Linked DNA regions of Macaca mulatta. The protein of the gene in region 1 purifies or fractionates together with the protein of each later gene. This does not show direct contact. Links are inferred from orthologs where the notes say so. Each region holds a gene or a part of one and is shown in the gene's direction. Other genes may lie near its edges.

Evidence for each region.
Region 2: the proteins of NUP160 (region 1) and SEH1L fractionate together in Homo sapiens (co-fractionation; 3 studies listed by BioGRID and IntAct, with this or other methods). This does not show direct contact. The link is inferred for Macaca mulatta from reciprocal best matches to the Homo sapiens genes NUP160 and SEH1L.
Region 3: the proteins of NUP160 (region 1) and NUP133 purify together in Homo sapiens (co-immunoprecipitation; 4 studies listed by BioGRID and IntAct, with this or other methods). This does not show direct contact. The link is inferred for Macaca mulatta from reciprocal best matches to the Homo sapiens genes NUP160 and NUP133.

The regions. Positions count from the first base shown.
Region 1 is NC_133419.1:17,798,424-17,809,316, forward strand, and holds part of NUP160 (nuclear pore complex protein Nup160), read left to right. Parts: intron 1-1,436; coding exon 1,437-1,547; intron 1,548-1,741; coding exon 1,742-1,865; intron 1,866-3,495; coding exon 3,496-3,597; intron 3,598-5,271; coding exon 5,272-5,413; intron 5,414-7,063; coding exon 7,064-7,189; intron 7,190-9,792; coding exon 9,793-9,897; intron 9,898-10,893. UniProt on the Homo sapiens protein: Functions as a component of the nuclear pore complex (NPC). Involved in poly(A)+ RNA transport.
Region 2 is NC_133423.1:83,642,024-83,652,916, forward strand, and holds the end of SEH1L (nucleoporin SEH1), read left to right. Parts: intron 1-2,654; exon of another isoform or gene 2,655-2,707; coding exon of another isoform or gene 2,708-3,142; intron 3,143-3,245; coding exon of another isoform or gene 3,246-3,322; exon of another isoform or gene 3,323-3,455; intron 3,456-4,222; coding exon 4,223-4,363; intron 4,364-5,499; coding exon 5,500-5,657; intron 5,658-6,996; coding exon 6,997-7,147; intron 7,148-8,185; coding exon of another isoform or gene 8,186-8,198; exon of another isoform or gene 8,199-9,799; coding exon 9,800-9,995; 3' UTR 9,996-10,476; downstream 10,477-10,893. Other genes in the region: succinate dehydrogenase cytochrome b560 subunit, mitochondrial-like, read right to left, coding at 2,812-3,142, 3,246-3,322. UniProt on the Homo sapiens protein: Component of the Nup107-160 subcomplex of the nuclear pore complex (NPC). The Nup107-160 subcomplex is required for the assembly of a functional NPC.
Region 3 is NC_133406.1:19,540,232-19,551,124, forward strand, and holds part of NUP133 (nuclear pore complex protein Nup133), read left to right. Parts: intron 1-317; coding exon 318-436; intron 437-4,608; coding exon 4,609-4,712; intron 4,713-5,842; coding exon 5,843-5,950; intron 5,951-6,880; coding exon 6,881-7,015; intron 7,016-8,462; coding exon 8,463-8,633; intron 8,634-10,676; coding exon 10,677-10,832; intron 10,833-10,893. UniProt on the Homo sapiens protein: Involved in poly(A)+ RNA transport. Involved in nephrogenesis.

The DNA.
Region 1 (10,893 bases):
ATAGTTACACTGTTATATACTACATATAGTAGTAACATTGTTATATACTATATATATTATATATAATAATGACATTGCTGTAAAAATATTGTAAAGTTCCTTCTTTTTAGTTTATTTTCAGCATTCTAATCTGCTAAAGGTTGTCTGGTAGCACTTCTAAAATGTTGTACAACAGTAAGAGAAATGAAAATGCTTAAATAAGAGTGTGGTTTTTTCTTGTATGCAGTATTTAAATTAGCTTAGTTCCAAGTTTTTTTTATCAGGTTCTTTTGCTATTACCACAGAGGCATGACATCCTTCCATAAACAGCCAAGGCTCTAGATTTGGACACACCTGGTTTTAATTCTGCCTCTCACAGTTTGGTCATATTTCTTTCTTACTGATAGAGATGACAGACAGTATTTCACAATTATAATGGTTAAATGAGGCCAGGTGCAGTGGCTCACGCCTTGTAATCCCAGCATTTTGGGAGGCCAAGGTAGGAAGATTGTTTGAGCTCAGGAGTTTAATACCAGCCTGGGCAACTATAGCAAGACCCTGTAGAAGAAAATTCTTTTGGCCAGGCATGGTGGCTCACATCTGTAATCCCAGCACTTTGGGAGGCCAAGGCAGATGGATCACAAGGTCAGGAGATCGAGACCATCCTGGCCAACATGGTGAAACCCTGTCTCTACTAAAATACAAAAAATTAGCCAGACTTGTTGGTGCACACCTGTCGTCCCATCTACTCAGGAGGCTGAGGCAGGGGAATTGCTTGAACCCGGGAAGTGGAGATTACAGTGAGCCAAGATCGTGCCACTGCACTCCAGCCTGGCAACAAAGCGAGACTCCATCTTAAAAAAAAAAAAAGAAAAGAAAAATGTTTTTTTTAGGCCAGGCATAGTGGCTCATGCCTGTAATCCCAGCACATTGGGAGGCTGAGGTGGCTGGATCACCTGAGGTCAGGAGTTTAAAAACAGCCTGGCCAACATGGTGAAACTCCATGTCTACTAAAAATACAAAACTTAGCTGGGCATGGTGGTGCCCGCCTGTAATCCCAGCTACTTGGAAGGCTGAGGCAGGAGAATCACATGAACCCAAGAGGTAGAGGTTGCAGTGAGCCAAGATCATGCCACTGCACTCCGGCCTGGGTGACAGAGAGAGATTTGTTTTCTTAAAAAAAAAAAAAAAAAGTTTAAAGAGTTAAATGAAATTACATGTAGTACCTTGTAAGCACCTTCTCAGCTGCATTTGTTAAAATACTTTGATTTGACATGGGATATTGCATAATTTGTTTAAGTTAGCGTTTATTTAGTTCCCTGTTTTCTCCTTCCTTCATGCATTTGGAAATTAGATTGAATGTTATTTAATGTTCAGTGGAAATTGACAGGCTGAGTTAATCTAGTGGATACTTCTTTGTATTTTGGGAGTTCAAAATATTTTTCTTTGATGTATAGCAAATCGACAAATTGAAATCCTGGAACTGGAAGATCTGGAGAAAGAGTGTTCCTTGGCTCGTATCCGCCTCACTTTGGCTCAGCATGATCCATCAGCGGTTGCAGTTGCCGGTAGGAATTCAAGAGTTAAAGCCTCTGACTTGTCAGCACTAAGAGCACATTTTAGGTCAAGGCAGTGTATGTAGCATGCTAGATGGATATAAAGCATGGGTTGTTACTCAGAGATACTCATCAACAAAGCAAAATCTTTGGTTTCATTTGTGTCTGCCTTGGCTACACAAAATAATCTTTTTCCATTTTCACAGGAAGTTCATCAGCAGAGGAGATGGTCACTCTCTTGGTTCAGGCGGGCCTCTTTGACACTGCCATATCACTCTGTCAGACTTTTAAGCTTCCCTTAACACCAGTCTTTGAAGGACTTGCCTTCAAGTATGTATAAAATTATCTTTTTATAGTCTTTTCTAATGCAAATATATTATCCTCTTGCTTAGTGTGAAGCAGTCGTCATAAGCCAAGTAGCCTGTATACCATTTGTGGTTTGAAGAAGTGTTTTGTTTAATCCATCCAAGCATTCTTAAAAAGAATTTCAGCCGGGCGCCGTGGCCCATGCCTGTAATCCCAGCACTGGGAGGCAGAGGCAGGCAGATCACCTGAGGTCAGGAGTTTGAGACCAGCCTGGCCAACATGGCGAAACCCCGTACCTACTAAAAATACAAAAAATTAGCAGGGCGCAGTGGTGGGCGCCTGTGATCCCAGCTACTTGGGAGGCTGAGGCAGGAGAATCGCTTGAACATGGGAGGCGGAGGTTGTAGTAAGCCAAGATCACGCCATTGCTCTCCAGTCTGGGTGACAGAGCGAGACTGCATCTCAGGAAAAAAAAAAAAAAAGAAGAATTTCTTGGCCAGGCACTGTGGCTCACATCAGTAATCCTAATACTTTGTGAGGCTGAGGTGGGTGGATCACTTGAGACCAGCCTGGCCAACATGGTAAAACCCTGTCTGTACTAAAAATACAAAAATTAGCCAGGTGTGGTGGCACACAACAGTAATTTCAGCCTCTCAAGAGGCTGAGGCACAAGAATTGCTTGAACTTGGGAGGCGGAGGTTGCAGTGAGCTGAGATCGCGTCTCTGCACTCGAGCCTGGGCAACAAAGCGAGACTCTGTTTCAAAAAAAAAAAAAAAAAAAGTTTGTGAATTAGAAATATTTTGAACTTTCAGAATTTTTCAGCTGGGTGCAGTGGTGTACACCTGTAACGTCAGCACGTTGGGAGGCCAAGGTGGGCAGATCACTTGAGGTCAGGAGTTCGAGACCTGCCTGGCCAACATGACGAAACTCCATCTCTACTAAAAATACAAAAATTAACCAGGAGAGGTGGTGCGTGCCTGTAATCCCAGTTACTTGGGAGGCTGAGGCAGGAGAATCGCTTGAGTCTGGGAGACGGAGGATACAGTGAGTTGAGATTGCACCACTTCACTCCAGCCTGGGCAACAGAGTGAGACTCCATCTTAATTAAAAAAAAAAAAAAAAGAGGCTAGGTGCGGTGGCTCATGCCTGTTATCCCAGCACTTTGGGAAGCCAAGGCGGGCAGATCACGAGGTCAGGAGATCAAGAGCATCTTGGCTAACATGGTGCAACCCCGTCTCTACTAAATATACAAAAAATTAGCCAGGCATGGTGGCATGCGCCTATAGTCTCAACTATTCGGAAGGCTGAGGTAGGAGAATCACTTGAACCTGGGAGGCAGAGGTTGCAGTAAGCCGAGATTGCGCCACTGCACTCCAGCCTGGGTGACAGAGTGAGACTCCATCTCAAAAAAAAAAAGAAAAGAATTTTTCATCATTAATTTTATCTTGGAAGTAAATTGTCTCTTAATGCTTACTGATGTCCTTGTAGGTATCCAGTAGTGTGACTTGAGGAAGAGATGATTCAATATTCCAGTAGTGAATTCAGCAAAATACTAGAGATGAAGTTTTCATCTTATCTCTCTAGTTTTAGTATCAAATTAAAGTGGTACGTTTCAGCGTTCAGTTTTCAAGTGTGGAACTATTTTCATTTCAGATGCATAAAATTGCAATTTGGAGGAGAGGCAGCACAAGCAGAAGCCTGGGCCTGGCTAGCAGCCAATCAGCTCTCATCTGTCATCACTACTAAGGAGTCGAGGTACAGCCCTGGTGTTCATCCAACTCTGGGTGGTTCTGCCTTTCTCAAAGCTGTAACTGTCTTTCTCTGATTAAATTGTCCTACATAGATCATTTCACTTTTTTCTTTCTTTTTGGCTAAGTTTTTGTAGGGGCTGTAAAGTTTATAATTAAGGTGACATCATGTCATTTATTGTCCAAACTAGGATGTCTTTGCCTATGAAATGTCTCCTCCATAACCCCCTCCTCAAAGACTTATTGTATCATATCAGGAAAGGGTAATCTTACACGCAAAAATCTGTATTTACTTGGTTTCAGAGTATTATCCTCCTTTTTTCTCCCATTACTTCCATTGAGCAGTCACTGCATGGTGTCGTCACAGTGTCTTCTTTTTTTTTTTTTTTTTTTTTTTTTGAGACGGAGTCTCGCTCTGTCGCCCAGGCTGGAGTGCAGTGGCGCGATCTCGGCTCACTGCAAGCTCCGCCTCCCGGATTCACGCCATTCTTCTGCCTCAGCCTCCCGAGTAGCTGGGACTACAGGCGCCCACAACCGCGCCCGGCTAATTTTTTGTATTTTTAGTAGAGACGGAGTTTCACCGTGGTCTCGATCTCCTGACCTTGTGATCCGCCCGCCTCGGCCTCCCAAAGCGCTGGGATTACAGGCGTGAGCCACCGCACCCGGCCCACAGTGTCTTCTTATAGCTTGTCTCCAGCTGCTGTTCAGCAGTCTGTCACCCATCAGCCCCCATCATCCACCATACCTTCTTCAGATCTCCTCTGTTCGTATACTTCCCCAGTGCACCCACTTAGTGTCCACGTAAATGTACTTCAGCTTCTTCAGAAACCTTCTCTAACATCCCTAACCCTCAGTAAGCTTCCCTTTCTGAACTGCATTTGCACTTGGTATTATACAGCTTAGCACTTTAGAGTGATAGCATTTTAGAATTTGGAAGTTCTCTGACATTAGTTTTCAACCCCTAAATTAGCACATCAGAATAACTGATTAAAATACGTATTATGAGAAATCACCCTAGTCTTCTAAGTTAGAACTTCTGCATGATTCTAATGCTTGATCAGGTTTGCGAACCAGTGTTCTGAACCACTTTCTTGTTTCATAAATGCAGAAACAAAGGAGTTAAATGAATTATGTATTAATAGCCAAACAAATACATTTGTTTACTAAATACTTTTGTTTACTACATACTAAATACGTTAGTGGGAGAGGAATATATGAACCCAAGACATTTAGTTTCTAGTACTATCGCCTAAGTCACATTAGCCCGAATAATATTTGTTCCCATTTAGCTATATTATTCAGTCGTGAATGTCTAAAGCTTTCCTTGTAAGGCTGGGCATGGTGACTCCTGCCTGTAATCCCAACACTTACAGATCACTTTAGCTCAGGAGTTTAATATCAGCGTGGACAACATAGCAAGTCCTTGTCTCTACAAAACATAAACAAGATTAGCCAGGCATAGTGGTGCATGCCTGTATTCCCATCTATTTAGGAAGCTAAAATGGGAGAATCTGGGGCAGAGGCTGCAGTGAGCTGAGATCACACCCCTGCACTCCAGCCTGGGTGACAGAGCAAGACCCTGTCTCAAAACAAAGTTTTCCTAGTAAATACATGCTTTGAATGGTACTCAAAATAGCTATTAAGAATCTGAAACTCATTAGTCATTTTTGGTTTTTTCAAGTGCTACAGATGAAGCATGGCGACTATTATCAACTTACCTGGAAAGGTACAAAGTCCAGAATAACTTGTATCACCACTGTGTAATCAACAAGCTCTTGTCTCATGGAGTGCCTCTACCTAATTGGCTTATAAACAGTTACAAGGTAAGTGGATTATAACTTGTACAGAGTAAGAACCCACTCTTTGTCATTCTGGATAATTTCATGAGATGATTAAAAATATGACTGCCATGGCTCATACCTGTCATGCCCACGTATTGGGAGGCCAACAGGGGAGGGTGGCTTGAGCCCAGGAGTTTGAGACCAGCTCAGGCAACATAGGGAAACCCCATCTCTATTTAAATTTAAAAATATATAAAGAAAAAGAAAAAGATGGGGTGATAACTTATGGGAACATATTGACTTATGTACTTTGAGAAGCTTTTCATCATAGCTAAAACCATAAGAACAATTCAGGTTCATTTCCACAGTACTACTGTGTATTTAGATTTGAAGTTTCATAGGTTAGTAATTAGGTTAATGACTACTATTATATTCACTGAACAGTGAGTTTATATTTAGAACAATGAGCATATGCATGACACAGGATTTACTATTCATACCTCAAAAAACCCACAGGAATGGGTGGAGTACTTTTCAAATAATGTAACAGTATGGCTGGTCTGAGTGCAGTGGTGTTCACAACTAATTGAGCACAACCAGTTTCCAATTGGTTCCTTCTCCACTCCCACTGTTTCACCTGACTATTAAAAATCAAACACAGGTTCTTAGACTGTCTGCATCAGAATTATTCAAATGGCAGGCTTCTTCAAAGTACAGATTCCTCATCCTAGATTTATATAATCAGATTATCTCAGGCTAGGAGCCAGAAATCTATGTTTTAAGAAGCTCCTAATTTGATTTTGATGCATGCTAAAGTTTGGGAACTTCTGCATCTGAACCACCTTGAGTAGGATAAGGAAAGAGAAAATCTAAAGGTTAAAATCAGGAAAGTTTTTTTTTTTTAAGGTAGAAAGGAGGCCGGGCGCGGTGATTCACACCTGTAAACCCAGCACTTTGGGAGGCCAAGGCAGGCAGATCACCTGAGGTCAGGAGTTCGAGACCAGCCTGGCCAACATGGTGAAACCCCATCTCCACTAAAAATACAAAAATTAGCTGGGTGTGATGGTGCGTGCCTGTAATCTCAGCTACTCCAGAGGTGGAGGTTACAGTGATCTGAGGTTGCACCACTGTCCTCCAGCCTGGGCGACAGACTCTGTCTCGAAATAAATAAATAAATAAATAAATAAGAAAATAGGGAAGGCAGCTAAGATGGTAAAGGTAAGATTGTGATCAAATCGGAATATAGAAAGCATACTTAATTAATAGAGCTCTTCCAAATAGAGACTTCAGATTTAAAGTTGGTGATTCTTTGAACTTATTTTGCGTTTGTCATTCATATATTTCTTATTATGTGAATATATTGTCACTTTAGTATTCAGGAAAAGTTTATTGACTTTACAACTGTGGAAGCTGAAGTGGAAAGAAGTTAAAGTATGTCTTAGGTCATAAAACAGGGGAAGAAGGCTATTTAACAGATAGGGCCTCCCAAACTGCCTAAAAGTAACGGCTCTTAGGAATTCAACTTTTTTTTTTTCCTAACTCCCCAGATTTGTTATCAGCTCTTATCCTAAGATATAGATGAGTAAACCAAGCCACTGGTTTAATTATGTTGAGAAATACAAATGTTAGGGAATCAGCCACTCAGCGTTCTTTGGTCAGTACTAAAAATTCTTAATCACCGACTTTTCACAGAAGGTTGACGCTGCTGAATTACTTCGTTTATACTTAAACTATGACCTTTTAGAAGAAGCTGTGGATTTGGTGTCAGAATATGTGGATGCTGTATTGGGTAAAGGACATCAATACTTCGGAATTGAGGTAGGCATATACAAATGGTCCCCAATTTACAATGGTTTGACTTATGATTTTTCAACTTTACAATGGTTTGAAAGTGATGAACGTTTATGAGAAACCATACTTTAAAATACTCATGGCTGGGCACAGTGACTCACGCCTATAATCCCAGCACTTTGGGAGGCCGAGGCGGACAGATGCCTGAGGTCAGGAGTTCGAAACCAGCCTGGCCAACATGGTGAAGCCCCGTCTCTACTAAAAATACAAAAATTAGCCAGACGCGGTGGTGTACACTTGTAATCCCAGCTACTCAGGAGGCCGAGGCAGGAGAATCACTTAAACCTGGGAGGCAGAGGTTGCAGTGAGCAGAGATCACACCACTGCACTCCAGCCTGGGCAACAGAGCGAGACTGTCTCAAAAATAAATAAATAAATAAACAAAATACTCATACAACTGTTTAGTTTTTCACTTGCAGTACAGTATTCAATAAGTTACACAAGATATTCAACAGTGTATTATAAAGTAGGCTTTCTGTTAGATGATTTTGCCCAACTTTATAGGTCAATGTTAAGCATGCTGAGCATGGTTAAGTAGGCTATAGGCTAAGCTGTGATGTTCATTAGGTTAGGTGTATTATATGCATTTTCAACCTATGATATTTTCAACTGATAATGGGTTTATTGGAAAACAAACCCATCATAAGTTGAGGAACATCTGTATAGTTGTATATATAGATATATATAGATAGATAGATAGACATAGATATAGATATATATATATATTTTTTTTTAGCCGAGTCTTGCCCAGCCCCCAAGCTGGAGTGCAGTGGTGCAACCTCCGCTTACTAGCTCACTGCAGCCTCCGCCTCCTGGGTTCAAGTGATTCTCCTGCCTTAGCCTCCTGAGTAGCTGAGATTACAGGCACCTGCCACCACATCCAGCTAACTTTTTAATATTTTTAGTAGAGACAGGGTTTCACCATGTTGGCCAGGCTTGTCTCGGAACTCCTAACCGGAAGTTATCTATCCCCCTCGGGCTCCCAAAGTGCTGGAATTACCCACAGGAGCCACCACGCCCGGCCTAGGCATTTCCTTTTATTACCATGCTATGTAAGGTGAGAATCTGAGAGTAAATTGAATTATATATTAGTGTATTTAACCATTACTGTCTGTAGTTATACAACTAAATATTGACACTCTAGGAGTCTCTAGTCTCCTGTTTATAAAATAGGAATTTCATCTTTATCAAAATAATATGGCATTAGGATTCAGTGGAGAGAGGTAAACAAAATGGTATTGTGTGTATGCCGGGACTGTGTTAAGTCTCTACAAGCATTTTCTTATTTAATCCTTATAGCAGCCTTATGAGGGATGTTTTAATTTTATATTTTTTAACCCATGAGGGAACAGGCTTAGAGGTTAAGTTATCACAGGCTCACACAGATGGTAAATATAATAGAAGAGCCAGGTCTAAATAGGTGTAGTTAACTACAGCTTCAACCCTCATGAAATCAGCCAGGTGCAACAGCTCACACCTGTAATCCTAGCACTTTGGGAGGTCAAGGTGGGAGGATCATTTAAACCTAGGGGTTCAAGACCAGCCTTGGCAACATAGAACCGATATCTACAAAAAATAGAAAAAAATTAGCTGGTCACGGTGGTGCATGCCTGTAGTCCCAGCTATGTGGGAAGCTGAGGTGGGAAGATCACATAAGCCCTGGAGGTTGAGGGTACAGTGAGCTGTGATCATGCCACTACACTCCAGCCTGAGTGACAGAGTGAGACCCTGTCTCAAAAAAAGAGAAAGTTGACATGAAATTATTATTATTTTTTTTAATTTTTATGTTTTTTCCAAGATGGAGTCTCGCTCTGTCACCCAGGCTTGAGTGCAGTGGCACGATCTCGGCTCACTGCAACCTCCATCTACCGGGTTCAAGCAATTCTTCAGCCTCAGCCTCCCGAGTAGCTGGGACTACAAGTGCCTGCCATCACACCCAGCTAATTTTTGTATTTTTAGTAGGGATGGGGTTTCACCATATTGGCTAGGCTGGTCTCGAACTCCTGACCTTGTGATCCGCCCACCTTGGCCTCCCAAAACGCTGGGATTACAGGCCCAGCTGACAAGAATTTTTAAATACATTTAATTTAACCAAAAAAATGACAAGTTTCCCAATTGGAGAAAAGAGGGTTCCCATTGTGTGCGTGCACATGTATACACACAGTTTCTTGTGGGGAAAAAAAAAGCATTTTATTTGGCCAGGCGCAGTGGCTCACTTTGGGAGGCCAAGGCAGGTGGATCACTTGAGGCCAGGAGTTCGAGACCAGCCTGGCCAACATGGTGAAACCCCATCTCTACTAAAAATAAAAATAAAAAAATTAGGCATGCTGGTGCACATCTGTAGTCCAGCTACTCGGGGGAGGCTGAGGCACAAGAATCGCTTGAGCCCAGGAGGCGGATGTTGCAGTGAGCTGAGATCGTGCCACTGCACTCAGCCTGAGCGACAGAGCGAGACCGTCTCAAAAAAAAAAAAAAAAGGGCATTTTATTCTACAGAGTCCTATGAAAGCAACTACCCAGAAGAAATGGTACACTTTGCAGACTGTTTTCAAGTAAACATTTTCCTTTTAGTTTCCACTGTCCGCAACAGCCCCAATGGTGTGGCTTCCATACTCCTCTATTGATCAGCTTCTCCAGGCTCTGGGGGAGAACAGTGCCAACAGTCACAACATCGCAGTAAGTCAGCCCTTTCATGAGATGTCTTCTGTAAGCCCCTGCACAGCAGTTACACCTTCCAGCTTGATCTTCAATTCTCTGGGATTAGAAAGGGAGGGCAAAAGCCTAGTTTTGTCCCTTAGCAAACTGCCCAATCCCTTTATAGATAAGGCAAAGGATCTAAGCAATAGGGTCGAGAAAACGTAATGAGGAACTGTGTAAGTGTTAATTATACAGAGACAAATGGCAAGCAGTCGGTCTATCCTTTCAAGGGTTTAGTTTGGTAGGGCAGACCCTACAGGGTAAACAGGTACTTGAAATACAGTGTGATAGGCCGGACACGGTGGCTCACACCTATAATCCCAGCACTTTGGGAGGCTGAGACAGGCAGATCACCTGAGAGGTCAGGAGTTCGAGACCAGCTTTGCCAACATGGTGGAACCCCGTTTCTACTAAATATACAAAAATTAGCCGGACATGGTGGCGGGAGCCTGTAATCCCAGCTACTCGAGAGGCTGAGGCAGGAGAATCGCTTGAACCTGGGAGGCGGATGTTCCAGTGAGCCGAGATTGCACCACTGCACTCCAGCCTGGACGGCAGAGTGAGACTCCATTTCCCCGACCCCCCAAAAAAGAAAGAAATACAGTGTGATAAATTATCACTGTCCTGAGGGAAGTTGGCATATATAACAACATTTCTCAGGAGTCATATATTTGCTCTGCTTGCCTTAACATAAAAAACAATAGTGTTTCCTTTGCTCAGAGTCATTATAGTGATGGCTTATTTTGTTTACCAGTGAGATAGAGTGCCTCCTGATCCTATCTAAAATATTAGTTCTCTATTTCACTTGGCAGCTAATAACTAGTTACATCAGATACAGCACCTCTGGTTCTAAGAAAAGAGCTAGTGATCCTTTTATTAGAAATACTGGTATAATTTCCATACTTAGAAAATTCATTCAGAAAATGAGATTGAAATGTTGTATGTAACAGAGAGGCCTAGTTTTATCAGTAGGGT
Region 2 (10,893 bases), on another chromosome or scaffold:
GGACGTGCACTGTCCGTGGGATGAAGAGGGACCAGGGAGACTTGTCTAGGAGGCACCAGCTGTAGGTCACGTGAGTCTTGGTTTCTGACCTGGCCGATGGTGGTACCACTCGTTGAGATGGGGAGTGAATGTGGTCAGCACAGTTTATTTCAGACATACGTTTGAGGTGCTTTTGGAACATCCAGGTTGGAATGTGTAAAGGCGGATGGGTAGAATAGCTGAGATTAGTTGTCTGTTGCTGCACGACGGCATTATCACCCAGTGGCTGAAACAGTAGATTCGGTATTTCAGTGTCTGTGGGTCGAGAGTCAGGCCAGACTGGAAAAGAGTCCACTTCGGCGCTCACCTGGTTGTTGGCAGCACTTGTATTCCTGCCACAAGACCCTCCCTGTGTCCTCACAGCGTGGCAGCTGCTTCTGCAAGGCCAGAAAGCGGGAGAGTCTTCTCATAAGGCAGGCGTCACAGGCTTGTGCCTTGCAGTCACACAAGTGTTGTCCCACCACCTTGCCATGTTCCTTCCCCTGGGTAGAGAACAAACCATGGGCCGCACTCACACTCATGGAGAGGAGCCTTTACAAGGGCGTGACCACCAGGAGGTGCGGGTCATGGGAGCTCTTAGAATCTCTCTGCCACAGTACTGGTGTTACTCCCACTTTATGGAGAACTTCTTGCTGAAGGTCAAGTTACAGCCTGGATTCAAATACGTTTTGGCTGCAACATGTGTGCTCTTAGCTCCCTCTGTCCTGTTTCTGGCCTTTGGTAGAAGGTCCTGAATTGCAGGGGATAGATTTAGGAATTACTGGTTTATAGGTACTGAAACCATGAGTGTAGAAACTTCAGTGTCTGTGTGAATCATCTGGGGATCTTATTAAAATGCGTATTCTGGCCGGCCGCAGTGGCTCACGCCTGTAATCCCAGCACTTTGGGAGGCCGAGGCAGGTGGATCATGAGGTCAGGAGATTGAAACCTGGCTAACATGGTAAAACCCTGTCTCTACTAAAAAATACAAAAAAAAAAAAAAATTAGCCGGGTGTGGTTGCGGGCGCCTGTAGTCCCAGCTACTTGAGAGGCTGAGGCAGGAGAATAGCGTGGACCTGGGAGGTGGAGCTTGCAGTGAGCTGAGATCCGGCCACTGCACTCCAGCCTGGGCGACAGAGTGAGACTCTGTCTCAAAAAAGAAAAAAAAAATGCATGTTCTGCTTGTGTAGGCCCCGGGAAGGGGCTGAGATTCTGGATGTCCCAGAAGTTTCCAGGCGACTGCAGACCACACAGTAGAAGAAGGATGTGGATGAGATTGCTTAGGGTGATTGGATGGGTGAGAAAGGTCAAGGAGAGAACCTTGAGGTGTGTACCAGCTTGGTAGATATTTTAGGAAGAATGTTGGGGTGAGAAGAAGGTCAAGCACAAAACGCTGGAAGCGCCACTATTTTAGAAGAAGGTAGTGGAAAGGTGGGATGGGGAGATCTCTCCACCCAGTCTCCTGCACTCAGGGTTTCGTGCTGCGGTTCTGTCCGGGATATTCAATCTTAGAAGAACCTAGTAGAAAACTCTGATCTACCACTGCCTTCATTATCTCTTATTCTGTGTTTCTACGTAAAGAAATAGAATTGCAAAGATGAAATAGCCTTTGCATAGTTTCCTTTTGTTATCACCTAACTCAATTCCTGCTGGGCGCAGTGGCTCACGCCTGTAATCCCAGCACTTTGGGAGGCAGAGGCAGGTGGATCACCTGAGGTCAGGAGTTCGAGACCAGCCTGATCAACATGGTGAAACCCCGTCTCTACTAAAAATACAAAATTAGCCGGGCGTAGTGGTGCACACATGTAATCCCAGCTACTCAGGTGGCTGAGGCAGGAGAATCACTTGAACCCAGGAGGCGGAGGTTTCAGTGAGCCGAGATCGCACCATTGCACTCCAGCACAAGAGCGAAACTCTGTCTCAAAAAAAACGGAAAACCTAAAAAACCTCAATTCCTGTTACCAGCTTTACTTTTTTATTTACACTGAAATACTTAGGCAATGCATTACTCTTTTCCTAAGAAAGGTGTCAGTGGCTAATAAATCAAGACCTTATTCCTTTTTTTTTTTAAATGAGTATTTTAATTCAGTTTCAAAAAATGGTACATGACTTTGATGAGAAAGTATAAAATTAAGAAGCTGTTCTGGAAATCCAAGAAAAAGAAATAACAATATGTTCAGTGATAATTTTCTGGATTTTCTTCTTGTGTCAAAAGCTATATATTTTCTCCTCACAAGCAGCTGCTCCAAGAACTAAGTAGCCCTCTTTATCTCCCTCTAGCTGGGACAGACTAATTCCCCTCCCACCACTTCTCTTCTTTCATTAACACTGCGTAGGTGTTAATGGCCTGGGCTCTCAGCAAAGACCAGAATTGTCCTTTAAGCCAGCAGCCCACAGGCAGTGGCACCCAAAGCCTCATCCCCCATCCCCAGGGCAGAAGCCACAGAGCTGGCATTGTTTCCACTGTTTCAGAAGAAGGAGCCAAGAGCTGACCCTCAGCACAAATCAAAGCCCAGTATGGAGAGAGAATAACTGCTGCTAGGCCGAGAGTAGGCAAGCTGTGGGCAAAAAAGGGGAGTTTTTGCAGCCACCCCATTTTTAGAAACAAGGGGAAAACTAGACCCTTTTCCACGATTATAATCTACAAGGTAGTCTACTGCTCCGCGGGGATCTGAAAGTACAAAAGGATCTAAACAAATAAGGAGAACTTTTCCCAGGCTGGAGATAGGAATGACAAACAGAAAGATGGGTGAATGTAACGTGTAGGAAGATGATGCTGGGAACCTCCGTTCTTCACATGGCTGCCAGCCCCATAGAGGACAACACAGTAAGAACCAGGACAGCCACTCCAGACTGGTATACGTGGGGAATCTTGAGGCCTTTTCCTAGGTCCCACATCAAGTGTCGGATCCCATTCCAGGTGTGATACGTGAGAGGGAAGACGAGTGCAGACTTAGCTGTGTGGATCAGTGCTGGCCCCAGACACAGGGACTTCACGAGTTCCAAATAAGACTCAAAGTTCCCGGGGAGTAACAGGGCCGGCGTGCCAAAAAGAGAGACTCCTGCACTGAAAGCAATACCAGTGCCGCGGCAGCAGATGGACATCACCACGGGAAGAGACCAGCTGTAGATAGTGATGTGGGGAGACACAGGACGGTGTGAACCTATATTATTATTCCAGAACCGCTCTTATCTCTTCTTTTGCCGTGGTTCCCACGGGAACAGCATTTCTGATACAGAGCTGAGGGCCAAAGTGGGCTTGGAGGTAATGACAACCAACACGTCTCAGCAAGAGTGCAGCCATCTCGGGTTTCTTTTTTTTTTTTTTGCAACAGAGCCTCACTCTGTTGCCCAGGCTGGAGTGCAGTGGTGTAATCTCAGCTCACTGCAATCTCTGCCTCCTGGGCTCAAGCCATCCTCCCACCTCAGCCTCCTAAGCAGCTGGGACTACGGGTGTGCACCACCACGCCCAGCTATTTTTGTGTTTTGTGTAGAGGTGGGGTCTTGCTGTGTTGCCCAGGCTGGTCTTGAACTACTGGGTTGAAGCATTTCTTCCACTTCAGCCTCCCAAAATGCTGGGATTACAGGTGTGAGCCACTGTGGCCAGCCAAGACCTTATTCTAGTTAAATTTTTATTAAACCATTTCAAGCTCAGTGTACATTATCAGAGGAGGAAACATGGGAGGTTGTATTAATTTCCTAGGGCTACCATAACAAATTACCACAAATCAGGTGTCTTAACACAGAATGTATTCCCTCAGTTCTGGAGGCCGGAAGTCTGAAATCGAGGTGTCGGCGGGGCTGTGCTTCCTCTGGAATCCTTCCTGGTCTAGTCCAGCTCCTGCTGGCTCCAGTTCTTTGCCTTGTGGCAGCAAGACTCCAATCTCTGCCTCTGTGTTCACATGGCCGCCTCCTCTGTGTCTCTACGTCTCTCCTCTTCTTTTTTAAGGATACTTACTGCACATTGGATTTAGGACCCACCCTAAATCTAGGATGTCATTCTGAGGTCCTTAATTACGTTTTCAAAGACCTTTTTTGAATAAGGTTACGTTCACAGGTTCTGGGGGTCAGGACCACTGTTGAGCCCACTACAGAGGTGAGCGCTACATGACTGTGAGCAGTATGAAAAAGGTGCGATGCAGTGATGTGTGCATCTTTGTACATTTTATTTCTAAAATGTTTAAATTGTTTGTTTTTCCATTAGGAAATATGCAAAAGCTGAAACTCTTATGACAGTCACTGATCCCGTTCATGATATTGCATTCGCTCCAAACTTGGGAAGATCTTTCCATATTCTAGCAATAGCAACCAAAGATGTGAGAATTTTTACATTAAAACCTGTGAGGTGAGTTTTCGAAGCATTTATGAATTTGAAAATACTCTTGCCTCCTGATTACCTTTGTTTGTGGAGGAGAGAGTAGAGGTAACTATGATTTGGTTTATATTTCTGCTCTGGAAGTTTTACTTAAAAATGTAAACTCTGAAATATTTTTAAAAAATGGTCTTTTACAATTACTTTTAAATTAATGTCATTTTTGAAGAATGGATTATTGAATGAACATTTTATATATAAATATATGTCTTTTTGGAAAGAGGAATTGAGTAAAGAGTAGATTTATATTCTCTTAATTGTGCTTTATTTAGGCTAATACTAACAATTCTCCCAATATAACTGATATTCTATAAATATTTAATGACAAGTGGCAGTCTATTTAGGGAAAACTAAATTAGTATTGATACAGTCTTGTGAATAACATATTTAACTTTAATTTTGAATTGTGAATTCCAGTTCTTTTCTTTCTGTTCTTTCATTCTTTCCTACTTGCTGCCCTGCCCTTTTTTTTTTTTTTTTTTTTTTTTGAGGCAAGATCTCGCTTCATTGCCCAGGCTGGAGGGCAGTGACATGATCTTGGCTCAGTGCAACCTCTACCTGCCAGGTTCAAGCAATTCTTATGCCTCAGCCTCCTGAGTAGCTGGGACTACAGGTGCCCGCCACCACGCCTGGCTAATTTTTTATTTTGTATTTTTAGTAGGGACGGGGTTTCGCCATGTTGGCCAGGCTGATCTTGAACTCCTGTCCTCAAGTGATCTGTCCATCTTGGCCTCCCAAAGTGCTGGGATTACAGGTGTGAGCCACTGCACTTGGCCTTGCCCTGCCTTTTAAAATTAATTATTGTCATCTGTTTTATTCCTCGGCCTTGTGTGGGAGAATAAAATCATCCTGTTTTGTTGTTTCTTTCTTCCATGAAACAGTCACTGAATATCGTTTATGTGCTGGGATCACTCCAGGCCTTGGCGAGTTAAATGGAAATGACATTGGCCCAGCTCAAGGGCCAAGGGTGGGGTTTATGCAGATGAGTACATTATTATAAAGTGATGTGGTGGTGAGACCACTTGTACTAATTTAGAATTTTATATGTGTGTGTGTGTGTATTTTAAAACTTTGCTTAGAATGCCTCAGAAAATGTTTTTTATTAACAGGAAAGAACTGACTTCCTCTGGTGGGCCAACAAAGTTTGAAATCCATATAGTGGCTCAGTTTGATAATCATAATTCTCAGGTCTGGCGAGTGAGTTGGAATATAACAGGAACAGTGCTAGCATCTTCAGGAGATGATGGCTGTGTAAGATTGTGGAAAGGTAAGATTTCAGTGGAGGGGTAATTGTTGGTTTATATTTCTGCTCTGGAGTTTTTACTTAAAAATGTAAACTCTGAAATATTTTTTAAAAATGGTCTTTTACGGTTACTTTTAATGTCATATTAATTTATGTTATTTCGAACATCAGTTTACCTAGTTCATAGCAGTTAATCACTGAATTGTTTTTCAAGTTATATGGAACAGAGCAACTTTTAAAACTAAAGTAATTACTACAGAATATGCAGTATCTCCAGTAAAAAGATACCAGTTGTCATATATGTACCTTACTTGACTGCTCTACAGACTCAGGCTAGGACTATAGTCGCTCTTATTTTATCAAATAGATTACTTTAGACAATCAGTCCTTAATAGGAGAAAATCCAGTATCTTCCCTGCTTTGTGCAAACGTTAAGAGCCTTGGGGCCCTGATTGTAAGCTTTTTATAAGTGCCAGGCTGAGTGAGAAGGTCTGGACAGTTGACACTGACTGTGGTCTCTGTAGCGTGGTTCTGCACTGCTTTTTGGATGATTATCTGTTGGGCAGAGATTTCTGTGATTTGTGCACCACCATAATGAATGGTGTCCCATACTTAGCATTCAAAATTATAGCTGTCTTAGTTTATTTACTCTTTAGCAGTTACTGTTTCCCAAAGTGCAGTTTGGGTAAGCTTGAGGGCCTCCCATGTTCGATTTTGGGCTTTGGCAAAACCAGCTCAGACCTTCCTTTCTTCAGTGTAATTTGATTTCAAGGGCTTTGTTGTCCTTTTCTGCCTCTGGGCTTTAGTCTGGACCACCTTGCCATGCTCCCCAGCAGGCTGCCTAACTTGATTTTCTTGGGCTCATTGTCTTCAGAGACCAATTTTGCATTCAAACTAATAAGGCCATTTTGGATAAGCCACTCAATCTCCATCCATTTCAGAAGACATTAGGTACCCATACAACTTATACTTGCATAATTAAGAAGACAATTTCATTACCTTACATATGTAAGTGAAATTCATTATAATGAAGACTTTAATATTATAATGGAGATTTTAATATTAATTTCATAATGTGATAATACGGTAGCTCAGAAAATTGTCTCTGCTATTATCTGTAACATGGGTGGTGAAAGCTTTATATTTTTAAAGTTATTGATACTTTGAAAACTTCTAAAAATTTGTTAAAACTAAGACAATATGTCTTCCATTTAAAAAGTGTCTTTAATGTTTATCCTGAAAGAAATGTAGCCCCTAGCCTCTCCCTCATTTCTTTAATTGTAGTTTAAGGACATGGGTACGGATTTGTGCCCTTAGGCATTGGTATTAATCACGTTAATGTATTTGATTATTTTCCTTTCAGCTAATTATATGGACAATTGGAAGTGTACTGGTATTTTGAAAGGTAATGGGAGCCCAGTCAATGGGAGTTCTCAGCAGGGAAACTCAAATCCTTCCCTAGGTTCAAATATTCCAAGTCTTCAGAATTCATTAAATGGATCTTCTGCTGGCAGGTAGGCTGTTCATGGGAAAACTGGAAATTCTCTTTGTTTTAAATCATTCTGGTAGCTCTACTTAAGGTGGATTATTTCCTGGATTATAAGATGGAGTGGAAATGTTCACATGTGATTATATTAGCATTTAAGAGTTCATTTCGTTACCTCTGTATTTGGCTTACTTGGTCATAACATTTGCAGGTAGGTTATGAGGTCATTACATTATATTCTGAAGCTTTAGTGGTCTATCGGTAGAAATGTTACAGGTTTAAGATTCAACTTCACTTCTGCAACAGTGAGAGGAAGGTTATCTGGTTTAATAGTGAGGGTTTTAGTCCAAATGAACATTAGTGTTTTTCACTGCTTGTAGTGTGGTCTTTGCATTAGGTCAAACTGCAGTTTTAAATAAAATACATTTATTAAGGCTTTTTAGAAGAGAGTACATTAAATTATTTGGCTTTTGTGTTTAAAGTTTAATGGAAATAAGAGGAAATAATAAAACCTGAGATTGATTTTTAGAATAGTTAGCGTATGTTACATTCTTGTGTATCATAATAAGGAATATTTGATGTCATCTAAAGAGTCATCCTTTTGTTTTCATGTTCAAATTTTAAATATGTGAATTTGTAAGATAAAATTATTTTAATATGTCTTTGTGAATAATTTGGGATAGAATTCAGGAAACGTCAAAACACAGCCTAATGGACTGTCCTGTTGTTATCCTAAATAAAATAAGAAAATTGTATTTAAAATTTCAGCTATTTTTATATCGTTATGTTTTTATAAAGAAGTCCTGCTTTTGATTTCGAGGTTTTAAGTATGTGCATCAGAACGATTTCAGGTTACCGTGGAAGATACCAGATTATAAAGATTATTTCATGAAACAAATAAGTAGAGTTGATTTTTTAAGGCTGGTTCTTGGTCACTGCCTGTACTGCGTATTTTCTTTTGTAAATAGCTTCTGTTTTTTGATCTGTATTCTTATTGTGCCGATAACCATCTGTGTTAGATCTGTGATGCATTTCCCTTTTCCATTTGTATTATGTCCTTTAACAGAAAGCACAGCTGAGTACAAGCTAACTGGAGTAGCTTTGCTGTTTTGCTGCTTGTTGCATGCACACAGGAATGGAAAGCGAGCTCCTCTTCCCCTTCCCCAGCGCCGTTTGACCTCTCCCAAGATACACCAGCAGCCTGCTTACTACTAAACGCAATCCTAAAGGCCTTTAAAAATACAGTGTATATTTTTTTGTACTAGTCAGTTTATTGACACTATTTGAAACTTTTGAAATATAAATGGAGAGGCTTTCTGTTGAGACATTGTCACCAAAACAATTTTTTGAAATATTCCTGAAACTAATTTGGGTTTAAAGATTAAAAGGGTTGTTACCATTCTTATCTAAGTAGTTGGGAGGAGGGGAAATATCACTTTACTTCATTTGGAAAATATAGACATATTTCTTTTGCTTTCTTAAAACAGCTTAAAATGAACTTTTATAATTTTAATTTGAAGATTGAATAAATATTTTTTATAAAGATTGTTTTGAGTGATTTACTTTTTGTAGAATTGCTTTATACATGACATTCAGTACAACTCTGTCATTTCCTTGTAGTATTTAAAGAATATTAGTAAAGGAGTGAATTAGTAAAGTAGTAATAGTAAAATGAAGGAACTTGACTGTACAGTTGTAGCCAGGTTAAGCATTTGGTATTGTTTCATTTACAATTTGGAAGTAAGATGGAAACACTTTTTTATAAGTTTTTAATTCATAGTCACTAAAGAGATAAATGTTTCTTATATACATTTGTATATTTTTATGGTGTTATTTATTCCATGGCTTAGTTTCCTTCAAATCAAAATTTGGACACACACTATTAAGAGAAGCCATTAAAATTTTACTAAAATTGTGCATGTAAATTAATGTCAGCATTCCATGTCTCAAGATTTTCTTAATTTAGTTGGCTGTTTAAATTAGTTCATATCCTGTAAAGCTCTGACCTTGATAACAAAGCTATAAATATTTAAGCTTGCTAAAATGTGTAAGTGTTACGGGTAAGTTACAAAATGGAAGAAGAGTAACAGTAGGGCACGGTCATTCTGTGAGTCCTTTCACTTCTCAAAATTTGGTAGCTATCCTAAGGCTTTTGCAGAAAAATAAGTGTTCAGTGTTTGTAGTTGTTCAAACGCATGTTGCAGTAGCCAGCCATACTGTGTGTGTTCCCAGTATCATGTATGCACTAAAAAATGTGTGCTTGCTGCTGTTGTGAGTGAACCATTGCTTAAGAGAAAAAGCTTATTAGATTTGTAAATGTACAGAATAGCATCAGATGTTTCTGAGAGATTAGAAAGTGTTTTGAATTTATAAAATTAATGTTTTTCTTTGTAACATTTATATTGATTTTTTTTGACATTTTAAGTTTAACAGATTGTATTCCTTTCAAGTTTCTATACTTGCTTAAGCAATCTTGATTTGAGTAAGGGTCTTGATTTGTGCTATTATGTTCTGTTAGTTTTGGCATGAATATACTAAAGCTTTTTTTTTTTTTTTTCTAGCATGTGTTTTTTCCTCTTTGGTTCTCTCTGTATTTACTACTTTTCTCTTTTTCTTGTGTTTTTTTTTTTTCCCTGTTTTTGTTTTGTTTGGTGTTTTGTTCCTGTCTTCATTGTTTCAGGTATTTCTTTCCCCCTCTGGATTCCCCACGGGCTGGATCGAGATGGTCCAGTTATGCCCAGCTCCTTCCTCCTCCTCCTCCTCCTCTGGTAGAGCACTCTTGCGATGCTGACACTGCCAACCTCCAGTATCCTCACCCTCGCAGACGATATCTCTCTCGGCCTCTTAATCCCTTACCTGAGAATGAAGGGGTTTAAAACACTGATTTAACATTGAAAGGCCTTATTCAAGTGCTTGTAAATGCTTTCATTTCTGGCTGCTTTTTGTTTTTCTTCACTTTCTTTCAGAAGATTTTTCTAACTTCGGGTCTGTCTTGCATGTATTACAACTGGAATACGGTGTTTCGAACCTAAATCTGTTTGTGCGTCTCCATCAAAGGAACGTTGGCTTCACTGGGTGATAACCTTTGATGAAATGAGATATGTCCAAGTAACGTTAACTGTGAAGTTACACACAGTAGCTGACTTCAGAGTGCCTGTTTTGTAAATTTTATTTTGAACTGTTACCATAGTCTTAAGTTGTTTATGCTTTATCAGACTGGCTAATGTGAAAGCATATTCTTACGAAGCTGATTCTGTCTTTGAGACCTTAGAAAATGGATTTCATTTTACAGGCTAATGTTGCAACTGACTAGTATGTAAAATAAATCATTCCTGTGTATAAAGCAGCAAAACCCAATGTGGACTTTTTGGTCTTTTTTTTTTTTTTTTTTTTTAAAGGAAATTGCCTTTCACTACTTGGAATTACTGTTTAAAGCTTTTGTAATTATTATCCAAGTAGGTTATGTAATAAAATATATTGTAAAATACACAAATCTCTTGCCTTATAAAAACAGAATGTATTTTATTTAAGATAGTTGCTAAGGCTTACTCTCCTTTCACTATCTCACAAAAAACCCAAACAAAAATTAGGAGATGTGAGCAAAAATATTACATTTATTTAAAAGGTAGAAAGTCAGTATGTAGACTAACATTTAGAATGCACAGATGTTGACTTTCAACCTAGTCAGTCAACATTAGAATATTTTCTAAAATATTTTAAGATGAGAATGTACTTGATAGAAATTGTGATAAAATGGTTAAAACTAGTAATATG
Region 3 (10,893 bases), on another chromosome or scaffold:
TGAGATCTGCAAAACGACCCACTGTTTGAAAAAAACACTGGTCTAGTTAAGCCTTATTTCACAGCTAAAGAGGCAGAATTATAAGGAGTTTAGGTGAATACAGGCATGCATTTTATTACTAGAGCATATGGAATTGAAGCCTAGTTTTCCTAAATCCTGTCTTTTTACATGAAAAATATTACATTTAATTACATGATAAATATGAGCCAGTGTTAATTTTTTTCAGAGAACTCCTTATTGTGAAAATATATACATAAATAATTAGGATAATGGAAAATTTTAAGTTATAAGTAAGGTAATTAGACTTTTTTCTTTAGAGGAACACCAACACGAATGTTCCCACACCACTCCATAACTGAGTCTGTGAACTATGATGTGAAAACGTTTGGATCTTCTCTTCCTGTTAAAGTCATGGAAGCGCTAACATTGGCTGAAGGTAGGTGTCATCTTTCCGTTTACCTATATTAGCAATTTAGGATGGAGCCTAGATGCGGCATAGAGATTAAATTTATGTTTTCTCACGTATACCTTTATGTAAATGGAGAGAGATGGGTAGCCTCTCTAGTTTTCTTTTTTTTTTTTTGAGGCAGAGTCTCACTCTGTCACCCAGGCTAGAGTCCAGTGGCACGATCTCAGCTCACTGCAACCACCGCCTCCCAGGTTCAAGCGAGTTTCCTGCCTCAGCCTCCCAAGTGGCTGGGATTATAGGTGTGAGCCACCATGCCGGGCTAATTTTTTCTATTTTTAGTAGAGACGGGGTTTCACCATGTTGACCAGGCTGTTCTGGAGCTCCTGACCTCCGATAATCTGCCCACTGTGGCCTCCCAGAGTGCTGGGATTACAGGCATGAGCCACCACACCCAGCCACCTGTCTAGTTTTTTATTTTATTTTACTTTTTTTTTTTTTTTGAGACGGAGTCTCGCTCTGTTGCCCAGGCTGGAGTGCAGTGGCGTGATCTCGGCTCACTGCAAGCTCGTCCTCCTGGGTTCACGCCATTCTCCTGCCTCAGCCTTCCGAGTCATTGGGACTACAGGTGCCCGCCACCTTGCCTGACTAATATTTTGTATTTTTAGTAGAGGCTGGGTTTCAGTGTGTTAGGATGATCTTGATCTCCTGACCTCGTGGTCTGCCCGCCTCAGCCCCCCAAAGTGCTGGGATTACAGGCATAAGCCACGGTGCCCAGCCCTAGTTTTTTACTATAATTGAGATATATAATAAATTTGAGAAGGAGAATGAGTTCATTTGAACACAATCAAATTAAGTCTAATGGTTTTAGGTACTGTACACTAGTCCTCCATTATCTTTGAGGGATATTTTCCAAGATTCCCCAGTGGATGCCTGAAACCTTGTATAGTACCAAACCCTATATATACTGTGTTTTTTCATGCGTACACTCCTATGATAAAGTTTAGTTTATAAATTAGGCACAGTTAAGAGATGAATAGCAATAACTAATAAAGTGGAACAATTATAACAATATACCAGCACTACTCTTGTATTTTGGGGTCATTAAATAAGAATACGAGCATTGCATTACTGCAACAGTTGATCTGGTAACTGAGACAGCTACTAAGTGACAAACAGCTGGATAGTCTCAGGGGTGTCCAATCTTTTGGCTTCCCTGGGCCACACATAAAATACACTTACCCTAACAAGAGCTGATGAGCTATAAATAAATAAATAAATGGATCTGTGTGTAAATCTCATAATGTTTTAAAAAGTTTACAAACTTGTGTTGGACTGCATTCAAAGCTGTCCTGGGCCACACGTGTCCCTGGGCCGTGGGTTGGACAAGCTTGGTGTATACAGTATGGAAATGCTGCACGAAGGGTTGATTCACAACCTTTAGACAGGACAGCATGAGATTTTTATCACTTTCCCCAGAACAACATGCAATTTACAACTTAGGAATTGTTCATTTGAATTTTCCATTTAATATTTTCAGACTGCAATTGACCACAGGTATTTGAAACTGCAGATAAAAGGGGGAAATACTGTATATGCAAAATTCAGTCTTGTTTGAAGAGTTGATCAAGTTTATGAAGTTTACCGTTAAAAAAAAAACCCCAAAACTGGCACTTTATGTTATTGGGTTTAATAATATAGTAAAATCAAGTCCTACCTCTATTTCTGGATCCTATGTAGCATCCCAGAGGCTGTGTGCACAAATTTATGATGTTACCATTGTGGTGGTGTACCTTTAGAAGAGTCTGTTGGCAGAGAATTAGTGTGGAATTTTGACAGATACAATCAACACAAGCTTAGGCAACTTTAAAGATGAACAGTTGGATGACACTGAAAGAGCAAAGTTCAGAGCATCCTTAATATCTGCTGAAGTCATTTTTATTGAGGATTGAATTCTAGATCTTTGTGATTTTTCTGGAACAGTGTTTTTCAAATTGTAGGAGTGACCAAAATTTAGCGGTTCTTGACCAGCATTTAAAAAAAGAAGAAATAGAATGCATCTCATATAATGTTTAGTAAATTTTTGTTTGTTTTACTTAAATTGTATATGGGTGTATCATGATGTAAAATGTATTACACTGTGAATAACTCTATTTACTGTATATATTACTGTTGACAGTAAAAAAAAAAAAGCTGAAAGTACTCTGTTTTAGAAGAAGGAATATATCTCATCAGCTGGAACTTGCACATCTTGCCTATAGGTCCTTGGGAGCTTTAGGGATAGTTGTTTTCAGACAACTAAACTACCAACCTCTATATACATTGTTCTGTTTTAAATAAATATACATATTGTGTATATATATATGTATATTTTTCTCCTCTAAAAATTTCATTTTAAATTACATTTAAACCTTTTAATGTACTCCTGCTATTTTAACAGACTAGATTAAATAACACAGCCCCATATCTAGAAATTCAGAGTCCCTAGGAGTCCGAATATATAAAACAAAGAGATATGTCAACTTGAAGAACTCTTCCGCACTTAGAAACCTGCCAACTACTGTTAAGTCAGCCCTTAAGGGCACACCAGTTGAAGATCTGGAGTCGTTGTAGTGCTTTCAAGAAAAAGGAAATTACTGAGCAGATAGTTCAGTTGAGCAAAAAGTCCTCACTCAGCCTGGGCTTGGTTTGATATTTTCGCTTGTACATTGTGCCTTTTACTTCGCCCTTCTACCTTTCTTTAAAGAGCAAAGTTCGACTTAATAAAATTTCCAGGGCTGTTAACACGTTTGTGGAGGTTTACCACCAATACTAAGACGTATGCTAATTTAGTTTTGTCACTTAATAGAGAATGAAACTCTTTGTCTCCATATAATAAATAATTTATCATTTCTTTAAGGAGCTCTTATTTGAAAATTATGTGTGTTTGAAGGAACATTATTTTCCTTGAAATGTTTTATATAGTTAATGAGTTTATTATTTATCGATATAAATGTTGCTAAATATTTCTTTTTTGTTTGTTTGTTTGTTTTGAGATAGAGCCTCGCTCTATTGCCCAGGCTGGAGTGCAGTGGTGCGATCTTGGCTCATTGCATCCTCTGCCTCCCAGGTTCAAACCATTCTCCTACCTCAGCCTCTAGAGTAGCTGGGATTACAGGTGCACGCCACCACACCCGGCTACTTTTTTTTTTCTGTTTTTGGTAGAGACAGGTTTTCATCATGTTGGCCAGGCTGGTCTCAAACTCCTGACCTCATGATCTGCCCACCTTGGCCTCCCAAAGTGCTGGGATTACAGGCGTGAGCCACCTCGCCCAGTCTTTTTTTGTTTTTGTTTCCGTTTATTTATTTTTTGATGTGGAGTCTTGCTCTCTTGACCAGGTGGGAGTGATGTGATCATGGTTTACTGCAGCTTCAGTCTCCTGGGCTCAAGTGGTCCTCCTGTGCCTCGGTCACTCTAGTAGCTGGGAAGTGCACCACCAAACCTGGCTGGGTTTTTTTTTGTTTTCTTTTTGTTTTTTTTTTTTTTTAAAGAGATAGGGTCTCACTTTGTTGCCCAGGCTGGCCTCAAGCAGTCCTCCCACGTTGGCCTCCCAAAGTATTGGGATTTATAAGCTTGAGCCACCATGCCTGGCCTAAATATGACTTACAGGAAATAAGGTATCTGGTCTGTTTGTAACAAAAAATTAAGGAATATTAAATGTCCCAAATACAACTGTTGCCTTTAGATATATTTCTTTTTTTTTGAGATGGAGTCTGACTCTGTTGCCCAGGCTGGAGTGCAGTGGTGCGATCTTGGCTCACTGGAACCTCTGCCTCCCAGATTCAAGCGATTCTCCTGCCTCAGCCTCCTGAGTAGCTGGGACTACAGGCATGTGCCACCACACCCAGCTAATTTTTTGTAGTTTTAGTAGAGATGGAGTTTCACCATATTAGCCAGGATGGTCTCGATCTCCTGACCTTGTGATCCATCCACCCTGACCTCCCAAAGTGCTGGGATTACAGGCATTAGATATATTTCTAAAGCTGGTTATCAGAGTTAAATAGATTTGTTGTTTTTGGTGTTGATAATTTTGGAATATTCAAAAGTATTTGTTGTGAATTAGTCCTTTCTGAGTGTGCCAATTACTTTTTTTTTTGATAAAGTGTGTGGTGATAAAGATTTATACTATATGATTAGTCACTCACCTCATTTTTTCCTTTAGTCGATGATCAGCTGACTGTTAACATAGATGAAGGTGGATGGGCTTGTCTGGTGTGCAAAGAGAAGCTCATTATTTGGAAGATTGCTCTGTCACCTATTACTAAGGTAATGGCTCTTCAGAGAGCTGGAAGGAGATAGAGGAGAGGAATGCCAATTGACTTTTAATTTTTACCGTAATTTTTTTACAGTTGGAGGATAGTTAATATGAAACTACTTAGGTGTTAAGGGTTTGCATTTTCATAGTGATGTGAAATAATGAGCATGCATACACATTTGTATATTGGGAAAAAAGTTTCCCCCTTTTAAAGATCTATGTTTACATTTAATAAAATTAGAGACATTGAAATTTTCAATGAATATTGTGCTAATCCGTCTGCCTAATAAAGTATCAGACTAAATGCCACCTATATAAGCAAATGAACTTTGAGTTTGCATATTTCCGAGAAGATAGAACTATGTTTTGTTGAACCTACTGAATAATACTTAATAAAATAAGAAAATATGATACTAATTGCTAGTTAAACTTTTCACTTGTCCACTTCCAACAGTGGGTTATCATTTGCATGTCTAGTAACTTATCCTCAGCGACCTTTTTCTGTTCGTTACAGCTTAGATGCACTACTCTCTTCCACCACTCATTACTCACTTGGCCACGTTCCATTGGAACTCAGGGCTCCTGCTTACCTCAACTCTTCACTTCTGCTGAACTGTGTTACTGCTGTCTAGAAAAGGGTATATGGGGTTAGGAGTAATAGGTGAGGGAGAAGTCCTAGGGGACATACTGAGTTAGCTGAGGGATCCTGATATTTGGCTGAGAGTCTAAGAAATATTTCCTAGGTAACTTGGTATAATTACTGTTTGTTTGTGCTAATTTTAAATGTCAAATAAACAAATCAATAGTAGATTGGGAAAGTTCCATAGGAAGCCTAAGTACTTCTCTTAACCTTATTTAGCCTTCTCTTGAGTGGACTTTTCTAGCCGGGGAAGAGGTTAGGATAGTTGTTCTTCAGAGTTTGGTCTAGCTTTAAGTTTTCATGATTCAATATCTCTTAAGATACTTTGTTTTAAAATTACTGAAAGCCTGATTAAAAGGAGATGTGAGAAGAAAGAATATTTGTAGAATGGTGTTTCCAGCAATGAGTCAGAATCTAAAGTATGTAGGGAAGGGAAATCAGATGCATCTTCAAAATACTGGATTTGATGTGAAAGATTTTCTGTTTGGGTTTGTTCTACAGTTATCAGTTTGCAAAGAACTTCAGCTGCCATCTAGTGATTTCCACTGGAGTGCCGACTTAGTGGCTCTTTCTTACTCTGCTCCCTCAGGTGAAGCACATTCTACTCAGGTAGGTGACTTAAAAGCTTATTGAAATAAACTTTTTACAGTAAGGACATCCAAAGTTGAAGGAATCATCCTATTTGATTTTGAGACATAACTATAAAGCTATAGAAATCAAGACATTGCGGTATTGGCAAAGAGAGCCACACACATAGGGCAATGTAACAGAATAGAGAATACAGTTACAGATCCACATAAAGGCGCCAATTTGATCTTTGATGAAGGTGCAGAAGCAATTCAGAAAGGATGGTCTTTTACGATGACTTTTCTCTGTATCAATGCATAGTGTAGGAACATTTGTAATTTTAAAATTACAGATGACCAATTTGTATTGTATTGAATTTTCCCTTAAACCTCATACCTTGTTATAAAGATTAATTTGAAATGGGTCATAGATCTAAATGTAAAACAGTAAAACTTTTAGAAGAAAACAGGAAAAAATCATGATGACCTGAGATTAGACAGAGTTCTTGGAAATCACCAAAAGCATGATCCATAAAAGAAAAGTTTGATAAAATTAATATTAAAATTAAAGTAAAATAAAAATTTAAAGCGTTGCTTTGCCAAAGACAAGAAAATGAGGAGACAAGCTACAGAGTGGAAGAAGACATTTGTAAATCATGTATCCAGTAAAGGACTTGTATCCCGAATATTTTTTAAAATTCTAAAAACTTGATAAGACAATGCAGTTTAAAAATAGGGACTAGGACTTGAACGGACACTTTGTGAGGATATAAGGATGGTAAATAAGCACATAAAGAGATGTTCAGCATTATTAGCCATTAGAGAAATGCAAACCAAAACCCCAGTGAGTTCTTATTTCTGATTTTTCTTGATCAAATAGTAGATTGTCCTGTTTTTTCATATCAGTGTCATCAGACTCCTGGTTTTGGGGTTCTTGTATCGTGATTGCCGATTGTTATGATCTTGTTTTGAGGCTGTTGCTGTCATGGTTGCCACCAGAGAAGGATCCATCCGCTATTGGTCAAGCCTTGCTAGTGAAGATACCTACACAGAGACTTTTGTTGATTCAGGAGGTGATAAGACTTACAGTTTCCTAACAGCAGTGCAGGTATACCATGGATATTCCTTTATATTTATTGGAAAGCTGTGATTTGGCTTGGAAATGAGATTTTTATTTATTTTTTAAAATAGAGACCAGATCTCCTTATGTTGCCCAGGCAATTCTCAAACTCCTGGGCTCAAGCAATAACTCCTGCTTTGGCCTCCCAAAATACTGGGATTACAAGCATGAGCCACTGCACCCAGCTGTAGAAATGAGATTTGATGACTGAAAATGTGGAGTTTTGAAGAGACTGTAGAGACCAGGGAGGAATCAAAAAGAGACAAGGAAGAGAAGAATGTAAGGATCTATGATCTGAACAGTTAGACGAGGGAGGCTCTTCTCACAGGGCTCTAAAATACCAATTTCAGATAGTAGTTTGTGATATGCATTTCTTTTAGAAACATTTTATGAGAGTGGCTTGTTTTTAAGCCACCATCAGACACTATAAAGAATAGTTTGCATTATCTTCTTTGTAGGTTCACAAAGAAACAAAATCTGGCTGAGCATGGTGGCTCATGCCTGTAATCTCACCACTTTGGGTAGCTGAAGTGGAAGGATTGTTTGAGGCCAGGAGTTCAAGACTAGCCTGTGCCACATAGCGAAACTTTGTCTCTACAAAAAAATTTGAAAATTATCTGGACGTGGTGATGTGTGCCTGTAGTCCCAGCTGCTCAGGAGGCTGAGGCAAGAGGATCTCTTGAGCCCAGGAGATTGAGGCTGCAGTGAACTATGATCTCACCAATGCACTTCAGCCTGGGTGACAGAGCGAGACCCTGTCTCTGATAAAATAGCAGACAAAAAATATAAATAAAAATAAAATCTGATAACCTAATTTGTTGAATCTGAAATATGAGCTTGTAGTTTAAAAATCAGAATTTAAAAAACATGGACTTTTTTTCTGCTACAGAAGTTTTGTGTTTTTTTTCTTTTTTTTTTTTTCTTTTTTCAAGACACAGTTTTACTCTGTCACCCAGACTGGAGTGCAACGGTGTGCAATCTCAGCTCACTGCAACCTCTGCCTCGTGGGTTCAAGCAATTCTTGTGCCTCAGCCTCCCAAGTGGCTGGGATTACAGGTGCGTGCCGCCATACCCAGCTAATTTTTGTATTTTTAACAGAGACGGGGTTTCACCCTGTTGGCCAGGATGGTCTCAATCTCCTGACCTCGAGTGATCCACCCACCTTGGGCTCCCAAAGTGCTGGGATAACAGGTGTGAGCCACCATGCCCGGCCAGTTTTTCTTTTTTCTTAGAGAGTTTTTCTATGTAGGATTAATGATATCAACTGAATGGATTCTGAAATGTATTACTTTAATAAAATAACAACATTCTATTTTGTATTCTTTTAGATTTATTTCAATTACAATGATTTTTCTCTGTATCAAAGAATTTTTTGTTAGCTTTCTTTATCTCAGCATTAGATGCTAAACTGAACTAATCTCCTATTTTTTCACAGGGAGGAAGTTTTATTTTGTCCTCGTCGGGAAGCCAACTAATTCGGTTGATACCTGAGAGCTCAGGAAAGATTCATCAGCATGTCCTGCCTCAGGGGCAAGGCGTGCTTTCAGGAATTGGTCGAAAGGTTTCCTCTCTTTTTGGAATTTTATCTCCTAGTAGTGATCTCACAGTAAGTTTATAAAATAACTATTTTACAAGCTTATTTCTTAGTTAAATCAGTAAGTTGAAAGTATGCTCTGAAGTTAGTGTTGCCTCCATATGGACAATAGTTTATGCAAAATAGAACCTTTGATCTTTTTAGTGAACTATTTTTATTATGATGAAATGAGTTCATACTAACCTTCTCCCATAACTTGTAACACTAATATCTTTAAATCAGATTATCTCACAAGAACATTTTTGGAACTAAAACTATTATGTAAAATTTAAAATGTGTTTCTTAAAGATTAATTTGACTTTTTAGATTTAACCGGAAGCGTGTCTCTACTGCCATGCCTCCAGCTGTCTGTGTGGATGACTGAAATCTAGATCTGTTGGTTGGATTTCTCTGCCCCATACTCTAGTATAGTGAAGGGAGGATGATGGGAACTAATATTTATGGACCATCTACTCACTGCTCGGTGCTCTGTAGTTGTTATATTCATATTGTGTAATCATTGTGACAACCTGTAAGATAGTGCACTTTCCCTCCAGTTTACAGATGAGGAAGCACCCTCAGCGGGAAGGTGTGTAACTGCTGAGTGGCAGAGCTGGGAATCATACCCAGGCCTGCTCTTTTTACTGTGCTGTTTCCCTCTTGTTTCAGATAATTATCATCACCTGCTTCCTTGAATGTTCTTTAAACCTAAACTTAACATGTTTAAAAACAAATTTATTGTATTCTTTCATCTCTCCTATTGACTGCTCACCCCTATAAAACTCATTTCTCTTTTGCTCTGTTTTTGTTAAGAGCACCATCACTTTTTCTCAGTGACCCAGGTATAAAACCTTGTTATTTTTTGTGTCTCGCTCTCCTTCTATAGCAAACTAGTTATTTACCAGGTGCTGTAGATTTAACTTCTGTCTAGTCTGGTTTCCATCCCCATCTTTCTGCTTTTGATGTTATGCCCTAACCTATATTCTTGATAAATTTCACCTAAGTTCCTGGTACCTGCTCAGTTTGCTTGCTGTTGACCTTTCTGCCCCATCACTGATGGGTTTTAACACAAAGCAATCATGTATATCCAGCTTTAAAAAGCCAAATACCTATACTTCATGATTAAGCATATACTGAAAAGGCAAAATAATACTCTTGTGTATGACTACATACATTCTGCCAAATGCATTCGAACACAATTCTGTGTTCAGAAGCTATTGATAATATCTCCCTGGCTTGCTACACTTACAAATTCACATTCAACACTCTCTGCTGTATGTCCCTGATTTTTCATTATTTTTTATTTTTATTTATTTTTAAAAATAGAGACATGGTCTCACTATGTTGCCCAGGCTGGTCTCAAGCTCCTGAGCTCAAGTGAGCCTCCCTCCTTGGTATCCCAAACTGTTGGAATTATAAGCATGAGCCACCACACCTGGCCTCATTTTTCAAAAAATCCTTATTTTTGCTTCTTTTTGACTTGTCATCTACATTCCGATGTTAGAGGATGACTTCTTATTCTCTAAAGACGCTGTAACTTTCCCACCTTTCAGCTCTGCTCCTCCTGGGCCTTCCGCCTGTATCCTTCTTCCTCTAGAGTCCAACGTTGCCCTCAAACTCTATTTCAGGATCACTTCTGCTGTTGTTGTTGAGATGGTGTCTCACTCTGTCAGCAGGCTGAAGTACAATGGTGCGATCTCGGCACCTCTGCAACCTCTGCCTCCTGGATTCAAGTGATTCTCCTGCCTCAGTCTCCCAAGTAGCTGGGACTATAGGCGTGTGCCACCACACCCGGCTACTTTTTTGTATTTTAGTGGAGATGAGGTTTCACCATGTTGCCCAGGGTGGTCTTGAACTCCTGAGCTCAGGCAATCCACCTGCCTCAGCCTCTCAAAGTACTAGGATTGCCGGGGTAAGACAGCACACCTGGCCCAGGATTACTCCTTTCTTTAAATCCCAAAGGAAGAATTCTGCTAGGATTACTAATCACATATGTGAAATTTGAGTTTTAAAACAATATTTCCTTAACATTAGAACTTAATCTATGAATTTGACTTCTTTTTCTTTTCTGAATAGCTTTCAAGTGTTCTTTGGGATAGTGAGAGATCAAGCTTTTATAGCTTGACAAGTTCAAACATCAGTAAATGGGAATTAGATGATTCTTCAGAAAAACATGCATACAGTTGGGATATAAATAGAGCCCTGAAGGAAAACATTACCGATGCTATTTGGGTAAGAAACAATAATATTCATCTCTGTAATTCACGCTCTGGTTGTATGATAATGCTGGTTC